Caenorhabditis elegans: one gene and its partner. The protein of the gene in region 2 purifies or fractionates together with the protein of the main gene of each other region. This does not show direct contact. Each region holds a gene or a part of one and is shown on either strand. Other genes may lie near its edges.

What was found.
Region 1: the proteins of msh-5 (region 2) and brd-1 purify together in Caenorhabditis elegans (affinity purification with western blotting, with the first as the bait; one study listed by BioGRID). This does not show direct contact.

The regions. Positions count from the first base shown.
Region 1 is NC_003281.10:6,884,586-6,891,373, forward strand, and holds brd-1 (BRCA1-associated RING domain protein 1), read right to left. Parts: upstream 4,920-6,788; 5' UTR 4,911-4,919; coding exon 4,849-4,910; intron 4,806-4,848; coding exon 4,746-4,805; intron 4,697-4,745; coding exon 4,528-4,696; intron 4,485-4,527; coding exon 4,309-4,484; intron 4,301-4,308; exon of another isoform or gene 4,218-4,300; intron 4,097-4,217; exon of another isoform or gene 4,006-4,096; intron 3,992-4,005; coding exon 3,932-3,991; intron 3,884-3,931; coding exon 3,706-3,883; intron 3,653-3,705; coding exon 3,344-3,652; intron 3,219-3,343; exon of another isoform or gene 3,131-3,218; intron 3,050-3,130; coding exon 2,836-3,049; intron 2,794-2,835; coding exon 2,593-2,793; intron 2,541-2,592; coding exon 2,443-2,540; intron 2,401-2,442; coding exon 2,285-2,400; intron 1,333-2,284; coding exon 1,173-1,332; intron 1,124-1,172; coding exon 1,063-1,123; intron 1,014-1,062; coding exon 871-1,013; intron 792-870; coding exon 690-791; 3' UTR 622-689; downstream 1-621. Other genes in the region: med-2 (GATA-type domain-containing protein), read left to right, coding at 1-442; K04C2.2 (DNA polymerase V), read left to right, coding at 5,190-5,291, 5,344-5,535, 5,582-5,782, 5,839-6,030, 6,075-6,162, 6,210-6,400; K04C2.5 (INSulin related), read right to left, coding at 6,459-6,544, 6,598-6,717. UniProt on the Caenorhabditis elegans protein: Constituent of the CeBCD complex that possesses E3 ubiquitin-protein ligase activity.
Region 2 is NC_003282.8:13,153,050-13,158,314, reverse strand, and holds the start of msh-5 (MutS protein homolog 5), read right to left. Parts: upstream 3,083-5,265; coding exon 2,929-3,082; intron 2,878-2,928; coding exon 2,719-2,877; intron 2,672-2,718; coding exon 2,591-2,671; intron 2,535-2,590; coding exon 2,337-2,534; intron 2,288-2,336; coding exon 2,169-2,287; intron 2,123-2,168; coding exon 2,013-2,122; intron 1,946-2,012; coding exon 1,720-1,945; intron 951-1,719; coding exon 888-950; intron 838-887; coding exon 727-837; intron 669-726; coding exon 594-668; intron 320-593; coding exon 247-319; intron 200-246; coding exon 34-199; intron 1-33. Other genes in the region: Protein disulfide isomerase crld-1, read left to right, coding at 3,986-4,102, 4,171-4,253, 4,317-4,413, 4,467-4,569, 5,240-5,265. UniProt on the Caenorhabditis elegans protein: Crucial component in meiotic recombination, functioning at some point after the initiation step of recombination. Plays a role in promoting the crossover outcome of meiotic recombination events.

The DNA of each region.
Region 1 (6,788 bases), on a different chromosome or scaffold from region 2:
TCCATTCAATGGTACATACTCCTTCACTACTGACTATTCTTATTATAATAACTACTATGACTATGTCAATACTTATGCTTCTTATTATCCAACTGCAATGGATTCTTCATCTTTAAATATTTCACCAACTACTGGAAGTCCTAATTCTTCCCATTTCACCACGTTTACTCATTTTTCTACTCCATCTACATCTCCATCTACCTCTACTCAAAGTTCAACTCCACCGAGCAATTCTGATAATAAGAAGTCATTTCAATGCTCAAATTGTTCAGTAACTGAAACAATTCGTTGGAGGAATATTCGATCAAAGGAAGGAATTCAATGTAATGCTTGTTTTATTTATCAACGGAAATATAATGAGACTCGTCCAGTCACTGCCGTTAACAAATATCAAAAAAGAAAATTAAAGGTACAGGAAACGAATGGTGTAGATTCTTCTTAATGTAAATTGTATCATTGTAAATTGTATAACTCAATTGTAATTTTCTTGTTTTAAGCCGGTAAATTGTTTTTAATTAATATGATCTCATAACTTATATTTATATCTTGTTCTCGATTTTAATTACATCATAACTTTAATTGCATGGATTGGATGCCGTTGTGTATAAAATAACACTTCAAAAAATAATCATTCATATTGCAATTTTACAATAGAAACGCAAAAGAAAATATTTTAAAACGGAAAATGGTTAATGTGGTGGTGTTGTGATGGAGCATCCAAGAATCGCCTCTATTAACCACTGCTCGCTGACAAGATTGTACTTTGTGCAGTCGCGGAATTTGTCTCCTATCTGTAAAGAGAAATAAAAATGTCACCAAACTGAAACTACCGAATCCATAATAACAGGAAAACTCCTTCGTTAAACTTACATCATGTGTCAAGCTGTAGAGCACAAAGTTTGGTTTCAAGTTGGCATTATGGTACGGCGGTGGATCTTTTTCGTCAATAATGGGCTCCCTCGCTGCAGCTTGACCACCGGCAGATCGAATAATTTCAAAAAGAGCTGGGCGATCTGAAATTGAAAATTGAAAAAATTAAAATACTGTAAATTAGAATCGTACCGAGGAAGTTATACTTTGGCTTTGGAATGAAAAATTTGCAACCGGCGAACAATTTTGGTTGCTGAAAAATTTGGTTGTATTTTTTTCTTTAGTGGAAATCAAATCCGTACCATTTTAGTGATTGTCTTCTTCCATTGTTCAATAGTATTTTCAAATACTTCACCTTCCATCCATCTAACTTTCTGAACCATATAAGAACGATCATCATCGACTTTCGATGGATCAATAATGCACGCTCTCAGCCAATCTCGACTAACTATCATTCCCGATCTGAAAGTATGAATTTCCGCTTTGAAATTTCATATTTTCACATAGATTTTTTTGGCTCTCATACTGCACCCTTGCGATTGTTTGCAATTTTCCCATGGGATCAGTCTATAACTAGACAGGGAAACGCATTTTATAATACAATCGAGCCACTGTGAAACTGAAATGAAGGTGTTTCTGGTGAGTTATATACTACTTTTGCTAATATTCAAAACTAATTTTGCAGTGTTTCCTTCTTCTTCTTCTTTCAATTTATGTTAATGCAAAGAAAGCAGAATGTCGAACTGATTCGGATTGCTCGGATAATAGGCTTTGTGTTTATGGACAATGTCTTTTTTCAAATCATGCAAGTGGTGGAGTTGTTATCACTGACGAAAATGCTGATGAACCTTGTACTTTTGACTGTCCAGTTGGAAAAAAATGTGTGGCAGGAGCCTGTGTTCGTGCCTAATTATCTTTTTATCTCCAATAAATATGTAATGCATTGCGACCTGATTTGAAGGAATGATAGAAAATAGACCATAATTACCGAATATAACTGTTAAAAAATTATTTCAGCTTTGGAAAAATAATAAGTTCTGATTAGTTTTGAACTCTCGTGCAAATGAATGGCTAAATTCGAACGCTTTTCGTGATTTTTGCTTGATGTTCCGAAGATTGTCAGATTTTCATAAATTTTTTAAGCAAAAAAAAAGATGAATAAATGTGAAATTATCGACTTTCAATTCAATTTTGAAGTTTCAGCGAATTTCTTTCTGATTATCATGCGTTTTCTTACGAACAAATGCCTTCCATTTATTTGCGCGAGAATTTAAAAATAAGTAGCCCATTTTTTGAAAAATTTCGAAAAAATTAATTTCTTAACAGCTATAGTCTGTCATTACGGTCTATTTTCTGACATTAAAAATCCCAAAATGACTATCTCCCACTTTTTAGGATAATTTTAAAAACCTACTTTATGATAGCTTTTAAAATTTCTCCAATATGCTCCTTGTTAATATTGAGCACACGAGTTTTCAAATCAACGGTGACTACCACATGCGTCGGAGAATCCATATCAGCAGGAACTATCTGAATAAATTTATTTTATTTTTAAAAATTAATTGTTTTTACATTGATTTTTCCGGGAAGTTTTCGTTTTTCAGATTCAGTGAGCATCTTCTCATCTATGAGTTGAACGAAATGAAGACGAGATTTTGGAGGGGCGACGACTGAAAATTCAATTTTTATCACGAAGAATAAAATTGTCAAAAAATTTCTTACCAGGCTGTAAAACTCTCTGTTCAGTCTTGAATTTTTCGATTATTTTCCTAATTTTCGGATCACTTTTAGCCATTTCTTCGACAGTTTTTCCAGCAATATTTCGAATTTTGATGCTGGCACCTTTCGATAAAAGATATTCAACAATTTGAGTATTTTGACGGCGAACAGCCTCGTGAAGCGTTGTTTCTAATGTTGAGCCGCCTGAATTCTTCGTCAAGAAAGTTGATAGAAGTTGTTTCTTACATGAAGCATTAATAACTGCACCCGCTTCAACAAGTATCTTAACAGCTTCCAATGAGCTATTCTCAACTGCCACGTAAAGTGGTGTCTTTCCGTCTTCTTTCTCATTTACGCACGTTCCTGCCTCTACAGCACTTCGAAGTTGAGGAATACGATTATTGCGAATTGAATTGACCAGGACAGCTTCACCACGACGAGTACCATAAGAACTGCGACGCTGAACATTTAAAAAATTGCAAAAAGTTTGCGAAAATGTGAAAATTGGAATGAAGGCGTAGAGATCAAGTTCAATTTTCAAAAAAAAAAGTCAAGCCACCTAGGGGACTCGAACCCCTGACCTTAAGATTAAAAGTCTCACGCTCTACCAACTGAGCTAAGGAGGCCATGCGTGCTGTGATGCAAAGACTTGTTAAGTAAGGGACAGAGGCGCAGACAACAAGATAATGTGGACGTTGAGCGTGACAGAGTAGAAAGACGAACGCCCGAAAACTCTTTTATTGAAGTCACTCACTTGCTCTGATTTCACACTCATCGACTTCTCTCCAAAACTCATCGGTGATTGAGATCGTCGTTCGATTTTATCGGATTTAATCGAATTTTTACGACTTCTAGACGTCGATGGTACTTCTTCTGGTTCTTCAGGTTCCAATTTTGGTTGTTTCTTGGCGCTCGCACTCATTGAAGCTTGCCGTTTTGTGAGAGGAATCGCTTTCGAGAAAATATCTTCTTCGATAATTTCGGCTTTAACTGGATTACTGCTACTTCCGAAAGCTTGAGCATACGTTGCAACACCAGTTGCTGCTGGAGCAGTTGAGCGACGCTGAAGAATTTCCGTTAAAGTTCTGAAGCGTCTTTAAAGTGAAATTGTCATACCTCAATAAACGGCGTCAGTAAATCATTTTGATGAGTTCTCTGCGGAACTTGCGATGCAAAAAGATCAACTACAGGCGCAGCCGGTTCATTTTTGACGGAAGTTTTCAGTATCGATGACCTTTTGGGTTTTCTCTCATGAACACTGACAGTTGAAGGGCGTTTTGTCGAATTACGCGTTCTAAAAGTAAATAAAATTCAATTAATTGAAGCAATGTAACAAACTCACGGAGAAGCTTCTTTGCTGTAGTCGTGGAATATATCCAATTCTGGAGAGTTTGAATTTTCCCTGAATTTACTGGGAAAATATGAAAAAAAGTTCTGCGTTCGGGGGGAATCGAACCCCCGTCGAATGCTTGGAAGGCATCCATGCTGACCATTACACCACGAACGCGGCATGGGAAACCAGCTATTAAATGAAGAGACATTTCTACTTGAAGCCACCAAATAGACCGCATCAGGTTTGTAGAAGAAGCATGACGGGAATCGTTTTCTCGGAAAGATATCCCCGATATGTCGCGTTCGTGGTGTAATGGTCAGCATGGATGCCTTCCAAGCATTCGACGGGGGTTCGATTCCCCCCGAACGCAGATTTTTTCGACTTACCGGTTTTCATCTTTACACATCAAATCATCATCCTCTTCACCAAGTTGTCCCATCTCGTCTGGCATATGAGCTTGCGTCTCCAGGAATTTCTCTACGGCATCAGCTGGAGTTTTTTCTTTGTTAAAAATGTTTTGTGTACAGGCAAACTCTGCTTGAGTTAGAGATGTTGTTCCGACCTAAATGAGAATTTAATTTTCGAGCTTTTCACCATTGACTTACTTTCTGTAAAAGGTCGTTTAGTTCAGACAAAGTATCAAAGCACGTTTTCAGCATATGAGCTTCTGTGATTTTGGATGTGTCTAGTGGGAAAGCACAACTCGGACACATGTGTCGAGCCACTGAAGAGCGTTTTCCAGACGGTTTCTGTTGAAATGTGGCGATACATTCCCTGAACATAAACTGAAGTTATTGACAATTTATTAGGTTGCAATACCTACCAGCAATAAGCATGTTTGCAAGATGATCCGAGATATTGCAAGTCTCCCCTCGGTTTTTTGCTGAAATTTTATTTAAGAGGCAAAATCTTGTACAACAACTTACCATTTAACACACTCGATAGCTGTTCGAAACGTTTCCAATGCTTTTTTAGTGTTTTCAAACATTATTTGACGCTGAAACAATAATTAAATCAAACAGGAAAAGAATAAAATTCGAAAATCGCACTTGTTTGTTTGCGCGTCAGGTGTGGTGCGTGCGCACAGAATACATTTTATTTTACGAACAAAATATTTTACTTCTATTTCTTTTTCTTTCATTAAACTAAAATTACATTTATTTTTTGTGTTTTATAGAAAAATACAGTTTACTTGGTCTGGAAAATTCACGAGAATGATCCTCTCGTCAATTTATTCTCTTTTTAATTATAATTTTAAGTTTTAAGCATGAGACCGCCAAGTGAATTACTCGATATTATTTCAAAGCTTGCTGAGCTCGATCCATTAGTCAGAAAAGGAGCAGTTAGACAGCTTTCAAGCAAACAAGAGGTAGGAAAAAAGTAGCTGAAATAAATGCCTAATTAAAGTGTTATTTTTTTAGGAATTATCCGATAACGAGCTCAACACATATGTGATTGAACGTCTTATTTCTGGATGTGCTTCAGCTCGTGCTGCTGTTCGTTTGGGATATACAACCGCTTTGGGTACTATTTTAATGACAAAAGCAGGCGAATCATGGGAACTCGACAAAATATTGGCCGTTGCAGATAAAAAGATGGACCTGGCAGAAAAGGTTGGGATTGTAAGTTCCTTTATTTGTACTAAATGTTTCGATTCAGACTGTTGGTACCGGACATGCAATTGGACATTATCTTATTCTTGTCACATATTGTCAAACCAGAAAACTCAAAGAAGCAGAAGCTACAAAAATTGTTGAGCATTCGAAGAAAATCAGAGACTTTGCTCCAAGCTTGGCATTTTCACAGATTAACCTTCTATGCAGTTTGGCTACAAAGACAAAAGAAAGTGTTTTCCAAAAGGTAAATCAATTTACTGTTTGAACAAAAACAAATCTATATTAATTTTTAAATTTCAGAGTGTATCCCCAGCCATCGAAATGAATTTGGAAGGTCTCAGCTCTCAGTTCACACCGGAAAATGTCTACCTGGCACTTCGCCTTCGTAATTCTCATTCAACAGTGGTTGCAAAATACGCAAAGTTTGTAAAGAAAGACGGATCTATTCAATTTTCTGATGATCAGTATCCTAAAATTTTGGCTGCTTTAAAGGTTAGTTTTCTATTTTAAAATTTTTATAAATACTTTATTTTCAGCGCTGTGACTTCGCCACAGTTCAAGTATTTCTTCCACTTCTCATCAAAGCATCAGTTGAATCATCTGGTTTTGATAAAATGTACCTGAGTAAGTTATACTTTTGAAAAGTTTTTTTTATAAATTCTCATTTTCAGAAGTTCTCGAGCCATGGGCCCTTTCAAGCAACGAGACGAAAGTTTTCGATAGAATTCTCACGATTGTCACTCAATTCTTTGATTTTGGAGGCGATGTGAAATCAATTGTTGTAGTATTTACTAAAGAAGTTTTGAATCGAATGGAGACCGCTACACGTGGAAAAGGACAATTCAGATTGATGAGTAAAAAGGTAATATTCAAGAGTCTTTATTGTTCAAATTTACAAAAATTAGTGAGATAGAAATTATCTAAAGGTAAACTGGCTTTTGTGATCGAATATGTCTCTGAATTTGTTTGATTGCTTTTCGGAGAAGAGCCTGGCAATCTTCCGGTACTGAAAAAAGATTTTTTAAAACTCAAGCTTTCTTCTAAACATCGAAAACATACATTTCTTGCATTGTTGTGTAAGTTCCTCATTTTCCACACAATATTCGGATGTTATTTCACACTCGATAGAACATAAATCGAGTACAGGAAGCCAGACAGCATCAGAAAATGGATCACCGCCTGTAAAAAAAGTGTTGGAACAATATTTAATTTCTTGTATCTTAAAAATGTATGCTGGTAAATTATGAAGA
Region 2 (5,265 bases):
GAGCGTGATTTCATTTTGATTTGAATTGCTTACTCAGGCTGTGATTCCACACCGTAATCTCTTGGAACTGAAAGAACAAATCCGACGAGTGGTATGTAGACACACGCCACATTAGAGTACGGTGGTAGACCAAGTCGAGCTTCTTCCTGTTTAGCAATTGCAGTGAGCACCATTGGCATGTTCTCATATGTGTCGCGTACTGAAGAAATAATAAAATAAGGGCTTGAAAACAATTAAAAAAAATACTTTCATCCAATTCTTCATCGATTCCATTCATCACTGTCACTCTTCCTTGAATCTTCGACTCTGCGAAGTTGATCTGAAATTTTTGAAGTTTGATTTAAATCTTATTCCTGGTCTCGGCACGGCAAAGTTTTGATAAATGTGGTTCGACTACTGTAATCGCAAACTTTTTTTGCTCTGGAATTTTCATCGATTTTTCACAGTTTTCCGATTAAAAAACTTCAACGAAAGAGTTAAAACACGAGATTGTTAACGAAAATGCCAGCGACAACAAAGTTTGAAAGTACAGTACTCTTCTCTTGTCGTGTCGAGACCAGGTACCGTATTTTAGAAAACACTTGGCAACATACAATGGAGCCCGCGATGACTGCAATTTCAGAGACTTCTCGGAGAAGATCTGATTCTACAGGAAACTCCTTCGAAATCTGAATAAAAATTATTTGAAACCTCGCTTTTTTATAAAAATTAATTATTTGAATTTACCGGTGTCTGCCTGATAATATTCAAGATTTCAACAAGCGCGTTGACTGTCGATACGAAGCACTCCCAATGAATGAGCTGAGCTGTTCCACTTTGAAATTTTTGGAATACACTCTGAAATCGGCCAAAAATGAATTAAATTAAACTTGATTGCTATTTAATACGTTCAGAGCCTTCACTCTTCCAAGAATTGATGATAACTTAGCGGTCACTTCGGCGTTCCAGTCCTAAATTTGAGAAAAAAATGTATATATTTGACGAAAAGATAATTTATTAAAGGTGGAGTACCGAAATACAAAAAATATTTTTTTAAATGACTTTAAATTTTCTCATAATTCCGAATATCTAAGTGAAAAAATTCAAAAAAAATTTCCCTGATTTTATATTTCAGCTTGAAATCGCGATTTTCATTTGCGTCCCCATGAGACTTTTCAAACGCCGAACTTTCGTGCCTGAGACGCCCCACATGTCGATTTACGAGATTTTTAAACTTTATCGGATACTGATTTCCGTTTTTCAACGAGTTTCCTTCATTTTCGTCGGTTTTTGCCAGGTTTTTTTTGAAAATGCGTTTTTTAGGGTTAATTAAACATTATATCAACAAAAATCTATCAAAATTTCTTTTCCCGACAGAAAATCGAAACTTTTGTAGTTTTTCGATAATATAATGTTTAATTTACCTTAAAAACACATTTTCTTTTAAAAAAAAACCTGGCAAAACCGACGAAAATGAAAGAAACTCGTTGAAAAATGAAAATCAGCATCTGATAAAGATTGAAAATCTCGTAAATATACACAAATCTCGTAAATCGACACATGCCGTCTCTGGCGCGAAAATTCTGCGTTTGAAAATCGCGATTTCAAGCTGAAATATAAAATCAGGGATCTCTTTTTTAAAAATATTTTTTCACTTAGATATTCGGAATCAGGGGAAAATTTGGAGTGATTTAAAAATATTTCCCATAGATTTCGGTACTCCACTTTAAAGATTATCACCTGTTTGAAGTAGTGCACACATTTTTGTCTTGACACAAGATCATCTCTATCCGTAGTCGGATTTCTAAACCATTTTCGAAGGCACTTTTTTCCAACGGTTGATCTACATTTATCCATCAACTGATAAAGTGATCTACCTTGTCCGAAAGTCTTCTTATTCTCGGTTTCCTTTGGCAGAATATCCAGCGCCTGAATTGTGTTGAAATCGATTTCTACCAGGTTTCCTCTGAAAAAGAAGAAAATGATTTTTTTTGTTTCAAAGGGAAATAAAAAACAAAAAATAGTAAAATTACAATGTAAATGTCTTGATAGATTTGATAGGTGAAGTGACTGACAAAGGATCGTCTGTCACGCCCATCCTAGTTTCATCGAGGAAAAGAAGAAGTGCTCCAAATGATCTTATCTGAAGATGGAAAATAATTTTTTTTTTGGCTCAGAGATCTGCTAACCATATTAACAGCTTCAATATCAAATCTCATCTTGATGATAATGTACTTGTCCTCTTCCGTCATCGAACTGTCATGGGACCCGGCCATCGCCTTTAATCTTTCTATAGCTCGCGACATTCCTGCAAATTTATTTTTAAAATCAAAAATGTTTGGAGATTATTAAGCAACTGAAAAAGTTGTTCGGGAGCTTATTAAGCTTCGCCGGTAATCCTTCGTCATCATCATCTTCGTCTTCTTCTTTTTCTTCTTTTTCCGCCGTTGTCTCGTCAGTAGAATAAGCTAGCGAAGAATCCCATGTCGGAACCGTATCCTCTGATGTTCCTTCTTCTGTAGTCCCGTCTTCATAGATTTTTTCCTGTGGATCATCTGAAAAAAATTTTAAAAAAATCTTTTTTTTTCAATTTTTATAATGATTTTCATACACCGCGTGGTCAAAAATTTGATAAATTCGAGATCCTGGCTTCTATTTGCGATTATTAGCGTCGGCTTCACATCGTCTATCACTGAAAAAAATGAGTTGAATTTCAAGCTTTTTGGATTTAAAACTGACATCTCTTCAAGAATCTAAATTCAAGATCTTCTGAAATATCGTTCATGATCTTCAACAACTGGCTTGATTGCTCGTAGTAGGCAGCTCCGAGCATTCCTTGAGCAAAAGAAAGACTGAGCACCGTTTCATCCCGAAATTGCTCCGGATCCATCGGCATGTCTGCAATTTTAATAAATTATTTAAAGAAAATAGGAATAATCTAGAGTTAACCTTTGAAATAAGCGCCATCCTGAGCTCCCTTGTGAAAATTATCATCACGGGGTAAGGCGACGGCGGTCAAGCTTGTACCGCGACCTCGGCCTCTGCCTCGACCGCGGAATCCATTCCCGCGTTTTGAATTGTAATATCTCCATCGAGTGGACATTTGAACCAAAATTTCATAAAATTATTTCTGATTTAAGAAAAGGTTGCTGAAAAACTAAAAATTGAAATATTTTCGGTTTTTTTCGGTTCTTGTAAAGTAATTTTAAACGTTTTAAACATTTTAAACTTCAAAAAGTTGATTGAACACCATAAAAAGTAACTATAAACAAGACTTGAAAATAGAAATTCCGAAAATTTTACTAAAAACTGAAATTTTCGTGTTTTCTGCTACGAAACTGAATTTTTAGGTACGTTTTATTAAATTAAATCAAGTTTTTAGCATTTAAACTAACCAAAAACTCGTAAAATTTATTTTCAAACGAGGAAAATTGTTTTGGAAATGCAATTTAAATTAAATTCTCGACACCGCCCGTTTTTCTTACCGTAACTACAAGGCGCATACCGATTTCGGTTCATCGGGTCCCGCAACGATCACTACAGTAATTCAATTATTTTCTTTAATTTAATTTAATTTAATTAAATAAATAAATATTTGTTATTTCTCGAATTAAAGCTGGATTTTCAGTCGAAATTGTTGTTTTTTTCACGAAATAAAAAGTGGATAATTCTATTTTTATCAAAATTTCTTTCGAAACTCCCCAAATTAAGGTGATTTCCAGCGAAAATAATTAACTTTTTCGAATTTTTCTAATATTTAATTGTTCCCTCTTCCATCAGTCACCTCTTTTGCTAGTAATCCCGGTCAAAGCCAATATTTGTTCATTTTTCTTTTCTCCCTCTCTTTTCTCCGCTCACAGGGCCGAGAAACTGGACAACGTAGACAATTTGCAGTGCATTCGGCCGCGCTCATTCGCTTATTCTGCGTGTAATTTCTCTAAAATAACGGTTTGTCGTGTCTTAAAGCTACATAAAAATCCAATTTTTTCCATTTTTCAGGGTGAAAATGAGCCGGATACTGCTCCTGCTTGCTGTATTAATTGGTGCCACGTCACAAAAAGAAGTCACCATCAAAAACGAAAAATGCAGGACGTGTAATTTTCTAGTGAGCACATTTGATGAGGTTTGTGCTCTATTTTTATATTTAAATGAATTTAAAAATATAAAATAAAAAGAAATTCCGAATTTCAGGGTCTCAAAAAAACGGCTCGCCATCATTTTGCCGGTGGAGACACAGCTTGGGAAGAGAAAAATCTGGGAAAGTACAAAACTAGGTTGGTTTCTCGAAATTTGGCGCTGGAAATATTTTAAATTAAAAAAAAAATCAAAATTTTCAGTGAAACCCGGCTAATCGAAGTTCTCGAAGGTGTTTGCAAGAAATCGTCGCTCCCAAATATGGACAATTTTATGGGAATCGCAGAAATCGAGTTTAAAGTATTCAAAAAATTAAATTTTTAATAAAAACCCTGTAATTTCTATATTTTCAGTGCTCTACTCAACTTGAAAAGCATGAAGAAACAATTGAAGAGTTCTACTACAACCAGCAACACAATAATATGTCAAATTGGCTCTGTGTTGAGCAGTTAAAATGTAAAAATTTCTTAAATTTGACTATAAAAACGTATGAAAATCGAAAGAAAACGCATTTTCCATTGAAAATTCGCGAATTTCGGCCTCAAAAATTGAATTTTTCGCTATTTTCTAAATGAAAATCGCGAATAAAACGAACATTTTAAAAACTAGATTCTTCACAATATACCCCGAAAAATCAATAAAAAATTGAATTTCCAGTCTGAAATTTTTCGAGAGCCTAATTTTCAATAAAAACCGAATTTTCAAGCAAAAAAATCGCAAAATTCAACAAATTTCCGCCAGAAAACTTAAAAATGTTATTATTCCCGTTGAAAATCGCCAAAGATTTGCAAATTTCATACTAAAAATTGAGTTTTTTTTCTATTTTTACTGTGAAAAGCGCGAAAATTTTGTAGTTTTATTAGAAAAAATACGATTTTTCACAATTTTCTGATTAAAAATAGCTAGAAATTAATATTTTTCGATTTACTAGAAATTTGTGATTGAAAATTGAAATTCTTTAAGCGAAAATTAATGCAAAAAAATTAATTTTCGGATTTAATTTTAAAAAACCGTAATTATATTTTTTCGCGGCGAGACCCATCTAAACAATAACGTGCGCCTTTAAGCAATATTTTATAATATTTTCCAAACTTTTAATAGCAAAAAATAAATAAAAAAATTTCAGTGTGCTGCCCTGATGGACACTTTGGT